2 linked regions of the Mytilus edulis genome follow. The protein of the gene in region 1 binds, or shares a complex with, the protein of each later gene. Links are inferred from orthologs where the notes say so. Each region holds a gene or a part of one and is shown in the gene's direction. Other genes may lie near its edges.

What was found. Proteins that work in one complex are often made in the same cells at the same time.
Region 2: ubiquitin carboxyl-terminal hydrolase 39-like (region 1) and U6 snRNA-associated Sm-like protein LSm6 share a complex: the UniProt entries of both Homo sapiens proteins name them as parts of the U4/U6-U5 tri-snRNP complex. The link is inferred for Mytilus edulis from reciprocal best matches to the Homo sapiens genes USP39 and LSM6.

What each region holds. Positions count from the first base shown.
Region 1 is NC_092352.1:16,012,991-16,020,288, reverse strand, and holds the start of ubiquitin carboxyl-terminal hydrolase 39-like, read left to right. Parts: upstream 1-4,289; 5' UTR 4,290-4,326; coding exon 4,327-4,933; intron 4,934-5,574; coding exon 5,575-5,638; intron 5,639-6,132; coding exon 6,133-6,227; intron 6,228-7,298.
Region 2 is NC_092347.1:98,520,442-98,528,387, reverse strand, and holds the start of U6 snRNA-associated Sm-like protein LSm6, read left to right. Parts: upstream 1-4,922; 5' UTR 4,923-5,029; exon of another isoform or gene 5,030-5,177; intron 5,178-5,226; exon of another isoform or gene 5,227-6,174; 5' UTR 6,175-6,176; coding exon 6,177-6,267; intron 6,268-7,653; coding exon 7,654-7,767; intron 7,768-7,946. Other genes in the region: iron-sulfur cluster co-chaperone protein HscB-like, read right to left, coding at 2,883-3,257, 4,478-4,912. UniProt on the Homo sapiens protein: Plays a role in pre-mRNA splicing as component of the U4/U6-U5 tri-snRNP complex that is involved in spliceosome assembly, and as component of the precatalytic spliceosome (spliceosome B complex).

The sequences.
Region 1 (7,298 bases):
TTATGAAGTATATTTGATGAAATAATTTGTCTCTGGCATCTGAATACAGGTCACATTCAAAAAGGTAGTGTTGTACATTTTCTTTTTGTTTGCAGTGATGACAGGTTTCCGTGTCGATGTGCTGGTTTATTATAAATTGGTATGCATTTAATTTAGAATAACCTGTTCGTAAACTGTTGATTATGTTGTACATTTTTTTTGACGGGAAGTCTTTTTTAACTTTATCTTTAACTTCAGGATGAAATCTGAAATAGTGACGTCCAGTATCAATATTTTCCCATCTGCGTTGCCATTTTTTTGTAACAGAATTTCTTGCTGCTTTTTTTACATCTTGTTTTGTAAACACTATATCATCAATGGCTAGTGTTTCTGCTTCTTTAGCAGCTTCTTTTGCCAAGGAGTCTGCCTCGTCATTTCCTTTTATGTTGGCATGTCCTGGTGTCCAGTTTAAGTTTATTAAAAATCCATGTTCGTTTAAATTTTTTATTTTCCCTTTGATTTCGTTAATGGTTTGATGATAGCTGTCACTTTTCCAATTGAGAGTTAAGATACCTAATGCTGTCTGACTGTCCGAAAATAAAGTTAAAGTATTAATTTGCTCTTTTGAAAAAGATTCTATGTAATCCAGAACCATTTTTATTGCTATAAGTTCAGCTAGCAAGATTGAGCCTTTGTTAGAGACAGGTCTTTTTAATTTTTCTTCTTTATCATTAATGTAAATTATAGCTCCTGCACCGCAGGGGCCTGGATTTCCTAAACATGACCCATCTGTAAAAGCAACTGCTGTGTTTGGTGTTTGAGATTGGAGTTGTTCCGAGATGATTTGTTTTCCTTCCTCTATTTGGGCTGTTGTTCTGGATTTTGAGCTGCCTATGTTACGCCAGTAGTCAGGGGCTCTAATGACTGATACTAGACCTTGGTATTCATACTGCGGTTCTATCTTGTCTATATCAACCAATTCTGTATCTTTCATATCTTCAGTTTGTTGGTACATTTTTCCTAGTGGTGATATATATTTTTCTGGATTTTTCTCCTCTTTCCAAATTTCAAATTTTCTTTTAATTGGGATATTATTACTAAAAGAATTAATTTTTCCTAACTCTCTGATGGCCATTTCCTCTCTTCTTAAATCTATTGGTAATGTTCCACTAAGTACTTCTAATGCTTCAAGGGATGATTGAGATGGTAGATCTAAACACAATGCTAAACCTTTTCTTTGTATTTCATTTAATTTGTCTAAATGACTTGAAGTGCTGGATTGCCAAATACTACTAGCATAATTAAAAATTGAACATACTAAGCTGTCATATATTTGAATGAGTGTCTTTGTTGGTATTAATGCTATTCCCTTGATTTCTCTTATAATTCCTAAAGATCTTTTGGCTTTCTTTACTGTAGATTCTATGTGACTATTGAAATTTAGTTGTTCATCTAATTTTAATCCAAGTATAACTGGATTAGGGTTGTATTTTAGAATTGTGTTTCCAAGCTTTAGTTTGATATTTTGGACTTTATTTTTTTCTTTACTGAAAATACTGTACTCTGTTTTTTGAATGCTAAGTTTCATTCTCCAATCATTGCTCCATTTTTGTACTTGATTGAGATCTTTTTGCAGTTTTTCTTGTATAACTTTTGGATCTGAATGTGAGTGCCAAATAGTTGCATCATCTGCAAACTTACAGCAGTCTGCAGACACGGATTTAAAAATATCTTTTATAAAAATATTAAACAGGATTGGGGAGATAACAGATCCTTGTGGCAGACCAATACTTGTTTGAAACCAAGGACTTTTGTAATTGTTCACCATACATCTAGCTTCTCGGTGACTGAGGAAGGCATTAATCCACATCCACATTTTACCTTTGATGCCGTCATTGTACAACTTTACCATTAAACCCTCTCTCCAAACGCTATCATAAGCTTTTTCAAAATCGATAAAAATGACAATAGTGGTTTTGTCTTTGTTAAATCCATTAAAAATAGCTTGTGTTAAAGATAATAAGGCATTTGTTGTACCTCTAAAATGTCGAAAACCTTCTTGTTCTTGGTCCATGATGTTGTTCATTTCTACAAATCCTTCTAACCTGTATGTTATAATTCTTTCCATTAATTTTGCCACTACACTAGTTAAGCTGATAGGTCTGTAAGATGATGGTAAATTGTAATTTGGTTTATATAATTTTTTTATAAATTTGACATTTGCTCTTCTCCAATTTAATGGTATAATTCCTTCTTCCCATGACTGGTTAATGATGTCCAAAAGTTTGGACTTTAATTCGCTTCCACCATTGATGAAAAGTTCAGTAAAAAAGAAGTCTGGACCTGGTGCTGATTCTTTTTTTAATTTAAAAATGGATCCTTCTAACTCTTCCATTGTAATATAATCATTGTACTTGATGTTATCTGTATTTTCTTCTTGATTAGAAGTACTAATGCTGATGTATTGCTGTGTGATGTCATCATAGAATTGTTGATTAAAATTATTTGCTTTTAAATGGTAACCTTCAAAGAAGGTATTTTTCAGGATGTTAGATTTTTCTGATTCAGTGAAAAGAATATTTCCATTATTTCCTTGCAATGGATGTACTAAATTTTCAGATTTCTTTTTAGTTAATTTTTTGAAATTTGACCATTTTTCCCTTAAAGATTTTGCTTCTCCAATTTTTTCACACAAGTCTTCAGACCATTTATTTTGGGCATCTTTTTTTGTCATTTCAAAATCATTTTCTGCTTTTGCAACATTTTCAAAATTTTCTGGTGTACTTCTTAATTTAAATTTCTTTTGAGCTTTGTTTAGTTTTCCTTTCATTTCTCTGATATCATCATTCCACCATGGGGGGTGTTGTATTATCGTCTTTTTCTTTGGTTTGACTAAGGGGATGCATTTTGTCATACAGTTTGTTAAAGTTTCTTCAAATCTGTTGTAGTTATTTTCTATATTTTCATTTTGTGGAAAGGATAATTTTGAAAATGAGTCTTTTGCTGTTTCTTTCCATGCATTCCAATCACATTTTTTGATATTCCAATATTCCTCTTCTGATGTATTTTCTTCGTGAGGATTACCTGCATTAAAATCTAACAATACTGCAATATGGTCTGATTGTACCTTTTCATGAGTTAGGGTTACACAATTTTTAACATCATTAAATAGATGCCTTGAAATTAGAAATAAGTCTATTACAGAACTACTTGCTCTTCTTGTAGCCTGATCATCATTAACACAAATCAGCTTAGATGTTGTCATACATTGTTCTAGTAATTCTCCATGTTTATTTTCAACTGCATTGTTCCATTCGAAGGATTTAGCATTTAGATCACCTACCAATATTAAATTGTTTAAATTTTGTTGTTCAATATGTGTACAAAGCTTTTTCATTAACTCTGGTTTTTCTGGTGGGATGTACGGATGAAATGTTTTGTTTTTGCTGTCTTTTACCTCGATACTGACCATTTCAATGTCTTTTAGTTCCAAATGTTCCTGTCTTTGTCCTATGAAATGATTGCTTGGCTTTAAAAATATTGCAGATCCTCCCCTTGCTTTATTTGGTCTAGGTGATGTTATTGGTTTCCAATAACCAAATGAGAGTGGATTTTTTTCAGATTCAAAGGATTCATTAATACATAAGATGTCAACATTATATTTTTCACAAATTTCTTTGAGTCCAGTTGCTGTTTTAAAAGATTGAGTATTAAGGAAAAGGATTTTCATGTTGAATATATATATATGGTTAGATACAGTTTTTAAATTTATGTTGGTTGATAAATCTGATGAAGGCTGGACAGTGAGATGATGACGATTTATGATTTTGTTGACAGTTTCTACAGGTAGCTGGCTTTGTACAGAAAGTTTCTGAGCAGGAATTTGATCCACAGTTGTGACAATGTTTTTTGTCCTGGCACTGGTTAGCAGGATGGCCAAGACACTGACAATTATAGCATCTAATAAACTTGATGTTTCTTTTCTTTTCAACTTTGATTTTCTGAGTGATGTTATTAGAAACATTGGCAATTTCTATGTCTATATATATATTTTGTTCCACTTTTTTCTTTTTTTACATATTTAACTTTTATTCGTATTTGATGTTTTCTTTACAATAAGTAAACAGTTTACCATATTTAGTTATTTTGACACTTTATCGCTAATTCTTCTTCTTCTTCTTACGTAAATCCCTCCAATATTGGAGCACTTGGAAATAAATCCAATATAATTATATTGTTAATCGAGAACTAATACAAGGCAAAATCCGGTTCATAAATTCCGGAATTGGTTTACTAATTATCAGAATTATACAAATGCAATGACGTACTTCACATCCACATATCGGCATGGCGGCGAACGAACTGAGCACGAAATTAAAAAGTTCATCAAGAGCGATATTAAAGCGTACTCATGTACCAGAAACTGTCCAAGAAGACGATGACAACCCCATGAAATCAATTCTTAAAAAAAATAAAAAGCCAAAACTCGATTCATCTGTCGAAGAGCATTCAAAGGCACAACAAGAGCCTACACAAAAATCGGGATCTCGTATTGCCAGCCAGGTGACAGTTGTCAGTGACCAGAAACTAACAGACTCGTCATCTAAGGTTGAAAAATCTCCTAGTCAACAAAAAAACAAGCCAATTTCAGACAATAGACAGTCTGATGTAATCCAACCTAAAAGAAACGAAGACCCTTCAGATGTTGCTAAAAGTGGAATAAGTCCAGATAAAGCTGTAGGCAGTGAAAAATCAAGAAAAGAAGTAAAAAAAGAGATAACTGCTGCTGAAAAATCTGGAAAATCTGACAAAAAGAGTGAAAAGAAGGAGAAAGAGAAGGTGAAAAAAGGAAAGGGTACAGAATCCAAATCATCAGCAGATAAAAAGCAGTCACCAATAAAAAGTACAAGTAAAAAGACAACAGTGAAGATTGAAGAAGAAGATGAGGAAATAGGTATATTAAAAAGGTCTTTTATTGGTAAAACTTAAAAAATGATATATATATGGTAAGGGGTTTCATAACATCCTCATAAGGCTCCCAAAAAATTGTCTGTTTACGGTTACTCAACCCACCCTGCTTTCGAACTCTGACCCTTAGTCATTTTATTTCTGTTGTAAAGTGAAAAAGTTATTGAACTTAAACCCAAGTTAGACATTGCTTGAGTTGCCAATGAATGAATTCAATAGTCCATTTGCCAATTACCGATTTGATTCTGTTATTGCACACTTTTTAAACAAATTACTTCCCTTTGTCAATCGTAGACTGGTTCCATACCGGACAAAATTGGCTATTGCCAATGCAAAGCATGACGAATTGAAAGTTATGTATCAGTGGTATAACTAATTTTTCATGATTGATGTCAAATTTTTTTATCTTAACAACAAATTAATGTACTTAAAAGATCAGGAAACATTAAAGATTACTCACATTACACACAGGTAAATTTGCTCTTTCTGTTACATTGTAGCACTCCATTGTAAATAAAAATTAATGTCCCCCTGTCACACATGTTTATAGAAAGATTGATTGATTGTTGGTTGCTTTACTCTGCATGATTTATAGATAGATAATTATGATAAACATATATATTGTAGCGGCAATACAGGACCCTAAAGTTGACAGAAGCAGAATCTGTCCTTATTTGGACACTATTAATAGGTAAGAACAAATATTATTCTACTTTCCATAAACAATATTTTATGTCTAGAAGTGGCAAGAAAAAAAACAACAATCAAAATATTCAGGTGATTTATCTTCAATAAAAAAATCTATACAAAATTCATCATTTTGCTGATTTTAATTGAAGTATTGGTCATGTTTGTAAAAATTTACAATGTACTGTAACTTATTGATTTCAAATTTTAATGTTTTTGGTTGAATGCTGTCCAGAAACCATTTATATGTTCACTGTTGGACAAGGGTAATAATGGTATACTTTTCAAGTTCTTTGATTGATTTTCATGTTCATTGTTTGACTCTGGAGATGTGTTGAAAGACAGACTCAGCAGTAGTTGTTTATGAATTATTGAACAACTATTTCAAAATTGAATTGTTTAGAAGGGGAAAAAAATAGTAGTAATGAATGAGAAGCATAATTTATACTTACAAGATTTTAACACTACAGGTTTATATTGATAAATTTTTTGTTTTAGATCTGTTCTTGATTTTGACTTTGAGAAGTTATGTTCTGTGTCCTTGTCCCACATCAATGTGTATGCATGCTTAGTATGTGGAAAATATTTCCAAGGTAAGTTTAACACACTATTATTTATCATAAATTCATAATATATATACTGTAATAGCATTTAGAACCTTTACTATTGCATATGAGATTTAAATTACCAGTTTCAGTTCTTGCACAGAAGTCTGTAGTAGAGGGGATTCATTATCATTTTCCAGAATATATAGTTTAGTTAAAAGTCGAGTCTACTCTAATTTTCATTGCAAATTTATATGGGGACGAAGTCCCCAATAACAGTAGAAAATTCAATTAAAAAAAAAATTCGGGAAAATTTCCCGAATTTTTCATTGTACTAATGAACTCAAAATCGTTCAAATTTTTTTTGTCGTGTTTTGAAATCCCGGACCTGCGCGGAAATGTACAATGTACTTCCTTTTTCCGGTCTCGTTTGTATGAAACTTTGAGTAAAATATATATTTATCAGTCTAGTATAAAATAGGAAGGAACGCGCAATACCAATTTCATTTTTATGCCCCACCTACGATAGTAGAGGGGCATTATGTTTTCTGGTCTGTGCGTCCGTCCGTCCGTCTGTCCCGCTTCAGGTTAAAGTTTTTGGTCGAGGTAGTTTTTGATGAAGTTGAAGTCCAATCGACTTCAAACTTGGTACACATGTTCCCTATGATATGATCTTTCTAATTTTAACCCTTTCGCGGCGAGTGTATCCTTGAGGATACACAATGCGCAGGGCGGATGTATCCTTGAGGATACACGATGCGCAGGGCGAGTGTATCTTTCAGGATACATAAATATTGTCCCAATAAAAGCCGCAATTTTACGCTATTTGCCGTTCTTAACAGTTGAAATCAATGTTTCTATTAAAATCTACGATATCTGAGGATATTATTTCAGTTCTTCAACAACATTAAAACATCGTGAAAGGTAAATAAATCAAATCGGAAAATTTTGTTTTCTAAAATTAGAACCGGAAACACGTTTTGAGGTCATGTGGGGTTTCAAAATGGCTCCTCTAGATAACGAGGAGTGGAAGTACAGCTGTTTTCTGTGTTTTGACGAAGCCCTTTATTATTCTTAGGTAGTTTTAACTATATAATAAAAATAAATGGTTCAATATAT
Region 2 (7,946 bases), on another chromosome or scaffold:
AACCTTTCCCCTTTTCACTGAATTATGAAAATGAGGTCAAGGACAAATGACAGATGGAAACTTTGTAATACAAGTCATCTGCATACAAGTTAAGAAGCATCTAGGTCTTCTTTCTTCTGAAATATAAAGATTTTAACAGATAGTTAACTGGCCATCACCAGATTATAATCCATATCTCTCATTCTGACACTTTTTTGGCAGTCAAAACACAAAATAAAATGTCCTAATCATCACATTAGGGGCTATAACTCCAATGAGTCAATTTAAGATTTCAGTCATGTATGCATTTATAGAGCCTTTTTTGTGATCAGTCTTGCTGTTTATATCTCTTTAATCTATCTATCATCATGATTATATCATTATTTTTATACGACCCCAAAACAATTTTGGGTTCGTATAATGGTATGATGTCATCGTCGTCCGAAGACACTTTGGTTTCCGGATAATAACTTTAGTTTAAGTGATTAGATCTTAATGAAATTTTTACAGAAGGTTCAATACCACAAAAGGAAGGTTGGGATTTATTTTTGGGATGATGGTCCAAACCGTTTAGGAATAAGGGGCCCAAAAGGGGCCAAAACAAGCATTTTTCTAGTTTCAGGATAATAACTTGTTTACCATTGTTTACCAGTATTTCAATTGCTCTGAAAGTATACTGCAATGTTTAAAATCACAAGTAGAAGGTTTGGATTCATTTAAGGGGTTATGGGGCCAAAGTTTAAGAATTAAGGGCCAAAATAAGCATTTTTCTAGTTTCCAGACAATACCTTGTGTGTAATTGCATGGATCGCTCTGAAATTGTACCACAATGTACCATATAACAAAGGGGAGGCTGGGATTAAGTTTTGGGTTAATTGCCCAAAATATGTAGGAATTAAGGGCCAAAAAGAAGCATGTTTCTAGTTTCCAAACAATCATGACAATAACTTGTGTTTAAGTGTATGGATCTCTGAAATCGTAATACAAGGTTCAATATTACAAAGGAAAGCATGGGATTGAGTTTAAGGGTTATTGCTCCAAGGGGGGTTTCAATAAATTGGGGGGGGATCTCAGTTTACCATTTATTGTAAGGGATTTTTTTTTTTTCAACATTTTATAAATTTCAAATTTTGAAAAGTTTCAATAAGAAATATTCAATTGCACAGTATTGTGCAATAGATGTGTTAGATCTTGAACCACATTAATTTTGTGGCAAAAACCTATATTATGTCAAAAATTTGATCACAATCAAAATTCAGACGGTATCAAGCTTGAATATTGTGACCAAATTTGCCCCAACTGTTCAGGGTTCGACCACTGGGGTCGTATAAAGCTGCGCCCTGTGGAGCACCTGGTTTAAGACAATGTTCTTGTGTTGTACTGATACATCACTGTCTCAGGTTAGGGGAAGGTTTGGCACCAGCCAATATGTACCCCACCACATTCTGTATGTGCTGTACCAAATCAGTTGTTGCTATATATCAAGATTTGTTTATATACATAAATCAGATCCTTAGTTTTCTCATTGAATTGGTTTTCATTTGTAATTTTGTTGCTTTTTATAGCTTACAATGTAATATAGTTTTGCTCATTTTTAAAGGCCTTACATTGATGATAGATCTACAGTTACTGTAAAAAATAAAAAAAATATTGTGAGGTTTTTTATTAATGTGATTAATACGACTGGGTGAGTGTTGCAATAATAAGACCTTGAATTTTGATAACAGAAACATAGATCTTCATGCAAATTTTTTTGTTATCGCAATAATTAAACATGCAACGTTGTCCATTTGTGAAAAATCGCAATAATAAATGCATCCCATAATTTCTGAATTTACAGTATTAACTTCTACATCCTTTGGTTTCTTTTAGAGATGTCTCAACTACACTTACCACACCCACTTCATTAATCATAATAACTCCAGATGGAAATTGACAGTTCTAAAAATTCAAAGTCTACAAATATAGTTTTTATTAATACTCATAAGGTGTCTAATAAAGACATGTAACCAGCTGTTCACACATTTACATCACTCTCTTCCAGCACACATATTTATATTCCACTTCATACACATATACACAAAATAAATCAGCATTATTTAACTTCACACTGGCTATAACAATTCTGCATATTAATTTGGTAATACTTTTACTAGTGTATCACAACCTTTCTTTGTATCAGTTTCATTACATAAAAAAATAACTGGGGTTAATGATCGTTAATATCAAGTAATAAATATCAAATTCTCACTTGATATGAAACCTATATTTATTTTTGAATGTTTTTTTAGATTTGAAGTAGACAGACAAAAATGAGTTAAAGATAGATTTCTGTTATTTTCTCAGGTAGTTTGATATATACACGTATATACATTGAAATAAAATGAAAACTCATAGAAACAAATTAACTTCAAACTTTATATATAGTTAAAAAATAAGATTAAGACCACTCGGAAATGAATTCATTAAATGTTGACACAGACATAATTGTGTCTAGCCCTTGCATTATTTTGACAGAAAAATGTAATGTTGAAATTCAAATAGGTGGGACTGTATTCTAGTTTACCAATTATCTTAATCACAAACTTTGTAGACAATAGAAAAAAAAACTAAGCTAAATAATTAATTTCATCGAGAATAAACGTATCACAGATAAAAATAAACAGGGGTTCCAATCTGATTAAAATAACAGTGGGTTCCTGTCCCAAATGCCTCTGGTATAAAGATAATCTGTGTTGCAAAGTAAATGCCATAAAAAATTATCCTCTTTTTCAAGAATATATCATTTTTTTCCCACCAATCATCCAGGTAGACCAACATTGTAGAAGCTACAATTCTAGGCAATATCAGATCCTATAAACATTCAGTTGCTTTTGCAACAGGTATTTGTAGGTCACAAAAAATCAGAACTGGCCTCTGTAAATTTCTTTGATTTTGTCATCAATATTTGTGAAATATTTGAGTTTTATGACAAGCTGTTTAGCTGCAGTTATGTCCCCTTCCTGAAAGGCTTTAGATACTTGACTTATGTTATCATCCAGTCTTTTCTTGTTTATTATTTCTATAGGTTTGAGTGACTCTGGAGAATCAGCATCAGCAATGTCTTCATTGATTTCCATGATTTCCATTAAGAATTCTTGATCAACATTACTATTCTGTTCCTCTATTGGGTGTCCAGTTTGTTCAAGCATGTATAATGCACGATTCAAAGGTTTAACCAAAGTACTGTAAGCTTTATTTACTAGGGATGACTGCTCTTCAAAAAGGATTTTTTCTTCCTGGAATGAATTTAGTATAATAAAATTGTTAACAGATTGAGAAACACACATACAAATCGTTAACAATATACACAAATAATTGAAGGAAGATATGGGGGCAAATGTCAATTTCAGGCCAGGAACAACAACCCAATAGAAAATTAAAACACAAAAATTGAAAACTAAAAGCAACAATGAATATTGTCTTAAGGAATCAAAAAATATAGAATACCATATATATGTATAAATAATTTGTCTAAACATTAGCCCAACAATTTTAGATTGGTAAATTTGCTTTTGTTCTTCCCTTGCCGGGAGATATCATGACGCCAAATCGCATTGCACTGAGACAGATGCGTTAGACGACTAGACCACCTAGCCTCTTAAAAAAAGAGTTTTCAGCGGCACAGTGTTACCTTTCTGTGATTTTCGATGGGGCCTGGGCGCTAGGCTATTGGTCCTAACTTTTGTTTGGCTGTTTATGTGTCGTGTATAGGAGTGGACAACATATAACAACTAACAAATAAACAGCTGAGCCTTGAGTGCATGATACGCCTGTTGCATTTTAAAACAATGAATTTCAATAAATTCTTCATGTCTTATCAGAGGGTTGTATAGGGGGTACCTTCATGACAAAGAACGGTAAAAGTTCTTGCCAAATGGTGTTAACAGTAATTTTTGGTGTATGGCGATAAAATGTACACCTTCTTTTAGACTATAAAAACATCGACTGATTTTGACAAATCACGGTAAAATTTTAACCAATTTGACACTAACGACAGCTGAAAATGGCTGTTTGACTCCTGACGTAAAAGGGCATTACTACCCTTATATCAAAAATTTGTGAAAAACTAAACATCTAAAGGGAAGTTACTTATTAGATATATACAACAGAGGCAGATTTTTTTGGGGGGGGCCCTTTTTGGAAAAAAATTTGGTAGCTTATATACTAGGGAATCACTGAAGCGTGACTGGAGCGGGCCCCCACTTACGGAAATTTCTGGATCCGCCAGTGAACAATTCACCAAAGTATTATGCAAATTGGTACAAGCATTTTTCAATTAATGACCAAAATGTTGAGGAAGGATGGACGGATAACAGTATACCATAATACCTGCCCTTAACCATGTAAACGGCCATATAAATGCGGGAACTTATTTAAAAAAAAATAGATTGACATATATGAGGAAAGAAATGCCCTTTACCGTCAGGTGTCAAACAGCCAAACATGAACTATTTACCTCTGATTTTAATGTGTGCTTGTCTGGATGCAGCAACTTTTGTAATTCTTTGTACTTTTGTGACAAGACTGCTGTGTCAACATCAAAACTATCACCTAAGCTCATTATTTCGAAATAAGACAATGAGTTGACTGATTGAACAACCCCACACTTGCAGAAAAATATGTCTTCCTTGGTATTTGTTGGTTTTCCACAACGCCAACATTCTCTATGTTGTAGACTATAATTCCTTCGATTTCGTAAGGAGGTTTTGACATAAAAGGTACCCTGGTGTAAACTTGGCGTATGACAATAAAAACTGTGGTATTGTCTAGTTCTTTGATTTGCTATAAAATGAATGTAACATATTTCTTTACTTGAAAATGTATTAATTTGTCTTATATTGGTAGATATCAAATTTTGAAAGGATTTTAATAACTTCATGGGCGCAGACATCTTGATTAACGCGAGAAATATCACGTGTCTTAATGCATTTGATAGAGCAGATATCGTGAGAATATGTTTTCATTTCTTCAAGCGGCAAGACAAGTGTTTGCAGTCTATAGTTTATAAGTATGTAATGGTATCGATATGATATCTAAAGTTCAGCTTTGGCTTAACACCTGTTTTACCTTCAACTCACAAATATGTTTGAAAACTGTATGAAAAGAATATTTCTAGAGATGTTTCGGCCACACTACCATTTCGTCCACAACCACAGGTCGTTTCGGTCACTACCAATTTTCGTCCCATTTCGTCAACAACCACAGGTCGTTTCGGCCACTACCATTTCGTCCACAGAATAGTTCGGCCATATTACAATTTCGGTACAGGTTGTTTCGAAGTCCAATCCCTTTGGCTTTGTTTGAATATTCATATAGACGTATTTACACTTGTATGCAAATTTGACTGCCAATTACTAAAATCACACAGGTTCCCGTGTACACACCTTTATTCTCAATTGAGGTCGTTTCGGCTACATTTCCAATTTCAGCGACAGTTGTTTGGGCCGAAGTTTCAAATTCAATCTAAATTATCTGACTTTTTGGCCCATTTATGGGCATTATATGTGTTTTCTGGTCTGTGCGTCCGCTCGTCTGTCCATTTGTCCTTTAATCCATTAGTCCGATTGTCCCGGATCAGGTTAAAGTTTTTGGTCGAGGTAGTTTTTTTATGAAGTTGAAGTCCAATCAAACTGAAACTTAATAAACATGTTCCCCATGATATGATCTTTCTAATTTTAATGCCAAATTAGAGATTTTTCCCATTTTCAAGGTCCACTGAACATAGAAAATGATAGTGCGGATGGGACATATTCTTGTTTTAATATGCATTATATGTCTTATATTAACAGGCGATAAGTTTGTACTTGAACTCATTAACCTTAGGTCTTGTCGGTTAATATTTCTCTTCTTTGGTATTTTCTCAACAATATGCCAGTTCGGAGATAAGGTAGTTAGTTGAATCTATCATTGTAGCCTCAAACACATGTTGCATGAACAGGTGAAAAGTTTTATTCTATACTGCACAAAATGTTTTGGGAATTAAAATCTAATAATATTTTTAATTTAATAAATGTATGCTAAATGTTTTAAAACTACAATTGTGATAAATTTATAGATCTTGAATACCCCATGGCACAATTAATATATGTATACAAACATGTGTAGCAATATTCTATTTATAGTTTGAATTAAAATTAAGTTGTCTATTTTTAGGTATGAGTAGAAAACAGACTCCCAGTGAGTTTTTGAAACAAATCATAGGCAGACCTGTTGTAGTTAAGCTGAATTCAGGTGTGGATTACAGAGGTATGACAATTTAAAGACAAATAGGACTTCATTATTTTCCGCTTTTTATTTTCATAGTTTTTGAGTCACCTATTGTAGACAATACTGATACTAAACTGAATGTTTTATTTATTAGGGCCCAGCCAAAGGCGGGTCACCCTATAGTGATCAGTCTGTCCGTCCGTCCATAACACTTTGTGTCGGCTCCATATCTAGAGAACCGTTATGATTTCATACTTAATACTTTACATGTTTATTAACCACCACCAGAGGGCGTGTCATGATGTATGTACAACTTCCTAGGTCAAAGGTCAAGGTAAAAAAAAAATGGTTTCAATTGACAACCCTGTGTCCTGTGGTGAAGATCGTGTCCGCTCTGTATCTTGAGAACCGTTATGATTTCAAAGTTTATACTTGACATGTATATGAACCAACACCAGAGGGTGTGTCATAATTTATGAACGACTGCCTAGGGCAAAGTTCAAGGTCAAAAACTTTGGTTTCAGTTGACAACCCCATGTCCTATGGTAAAGATCCTGTCCGCTCTATATCTTGAGAACCATTATCATTTCAAAGTTTTTACTTGACATGTTTATAAACCAACACCAAAGGGTGTGTCATAATTTATTTACAACTTCCTAGGTCAAAGGTCAAGGTCAAAAACTTTGATTTCAGTTGACAAACCCATGTCCTATGGTAAAGATCCTGTCCGCTCTATATCTTGAGAACCGTTATCATTTCAAAGTTTATACTTGACATGTTTATAAACCAACACCAAAGGGTGTGTCATAATTTATTTACAACTTCCTAGGTCAAAGGTCAAGGTCAAAAACTTTGATTTCAGTTGACAAACCCATGTCCTATGGTAAATATACAATTTTTTAATGCATATTATTCACAGCGGGGCCCACAGAGATGGCTCCCATCTCAATGATATCTAGTTAGTATGTATATGTATATTGATGTTTATTTTTAAGAACCCTTTTAAGTACAGTATATGAATTTAAGGAAATGAGAGTACACTCCAATGTATGAATGAGACACTGAGCAAACTATTGACACAACAATCTTATAGAGGAATCCACATCCCAATCTTTTTAATTTGTAAATATTAGTAGCTATGAACAAAAATTCTTGTTTTCAGTAACCCTGAATTTATTGAATATTTTTATGAACTTTTTATTCTGAATACTTCTACTTCTACCAATACGCGGCCACCATCAATAAGTTGATTATTTTGCGCATTTAAAATTTATTTAGACAAAAATAATTAATTAATTAAATTGAATTTGTGCTATACAACATATATACAGTGAATTTAATACTATAAGATAATTTTGAAAGCTAGAAATTAATAGAAGTTCACTATTTGTAAAGGTATAATTCTGATTTTTTTTAAATTACTAGGTGTCTTAGCTTGCTTGGATGGATATATGAACATTGCTTTGGAACAAACAGAAGAATATGTGAATGGACAGCTGAAAAACAAATATGGAGATGCCTTCATTAGGGGAAATAATGGTAGGTTTTTGTCTTGCCTTAACTGAGTCAAAAAGCAAGAGGCAGTTATGCTGTTTCTGGTGGTAGGAATGTAAACTATGTGTTAGTTTGAAATTATGTCAGTTTATGGGGAACCACAAAAAAAAAAAAAAAATTTAAAAGTTTGATCTTCAGATCAGTAGTTGTCAGAACATTGTCAC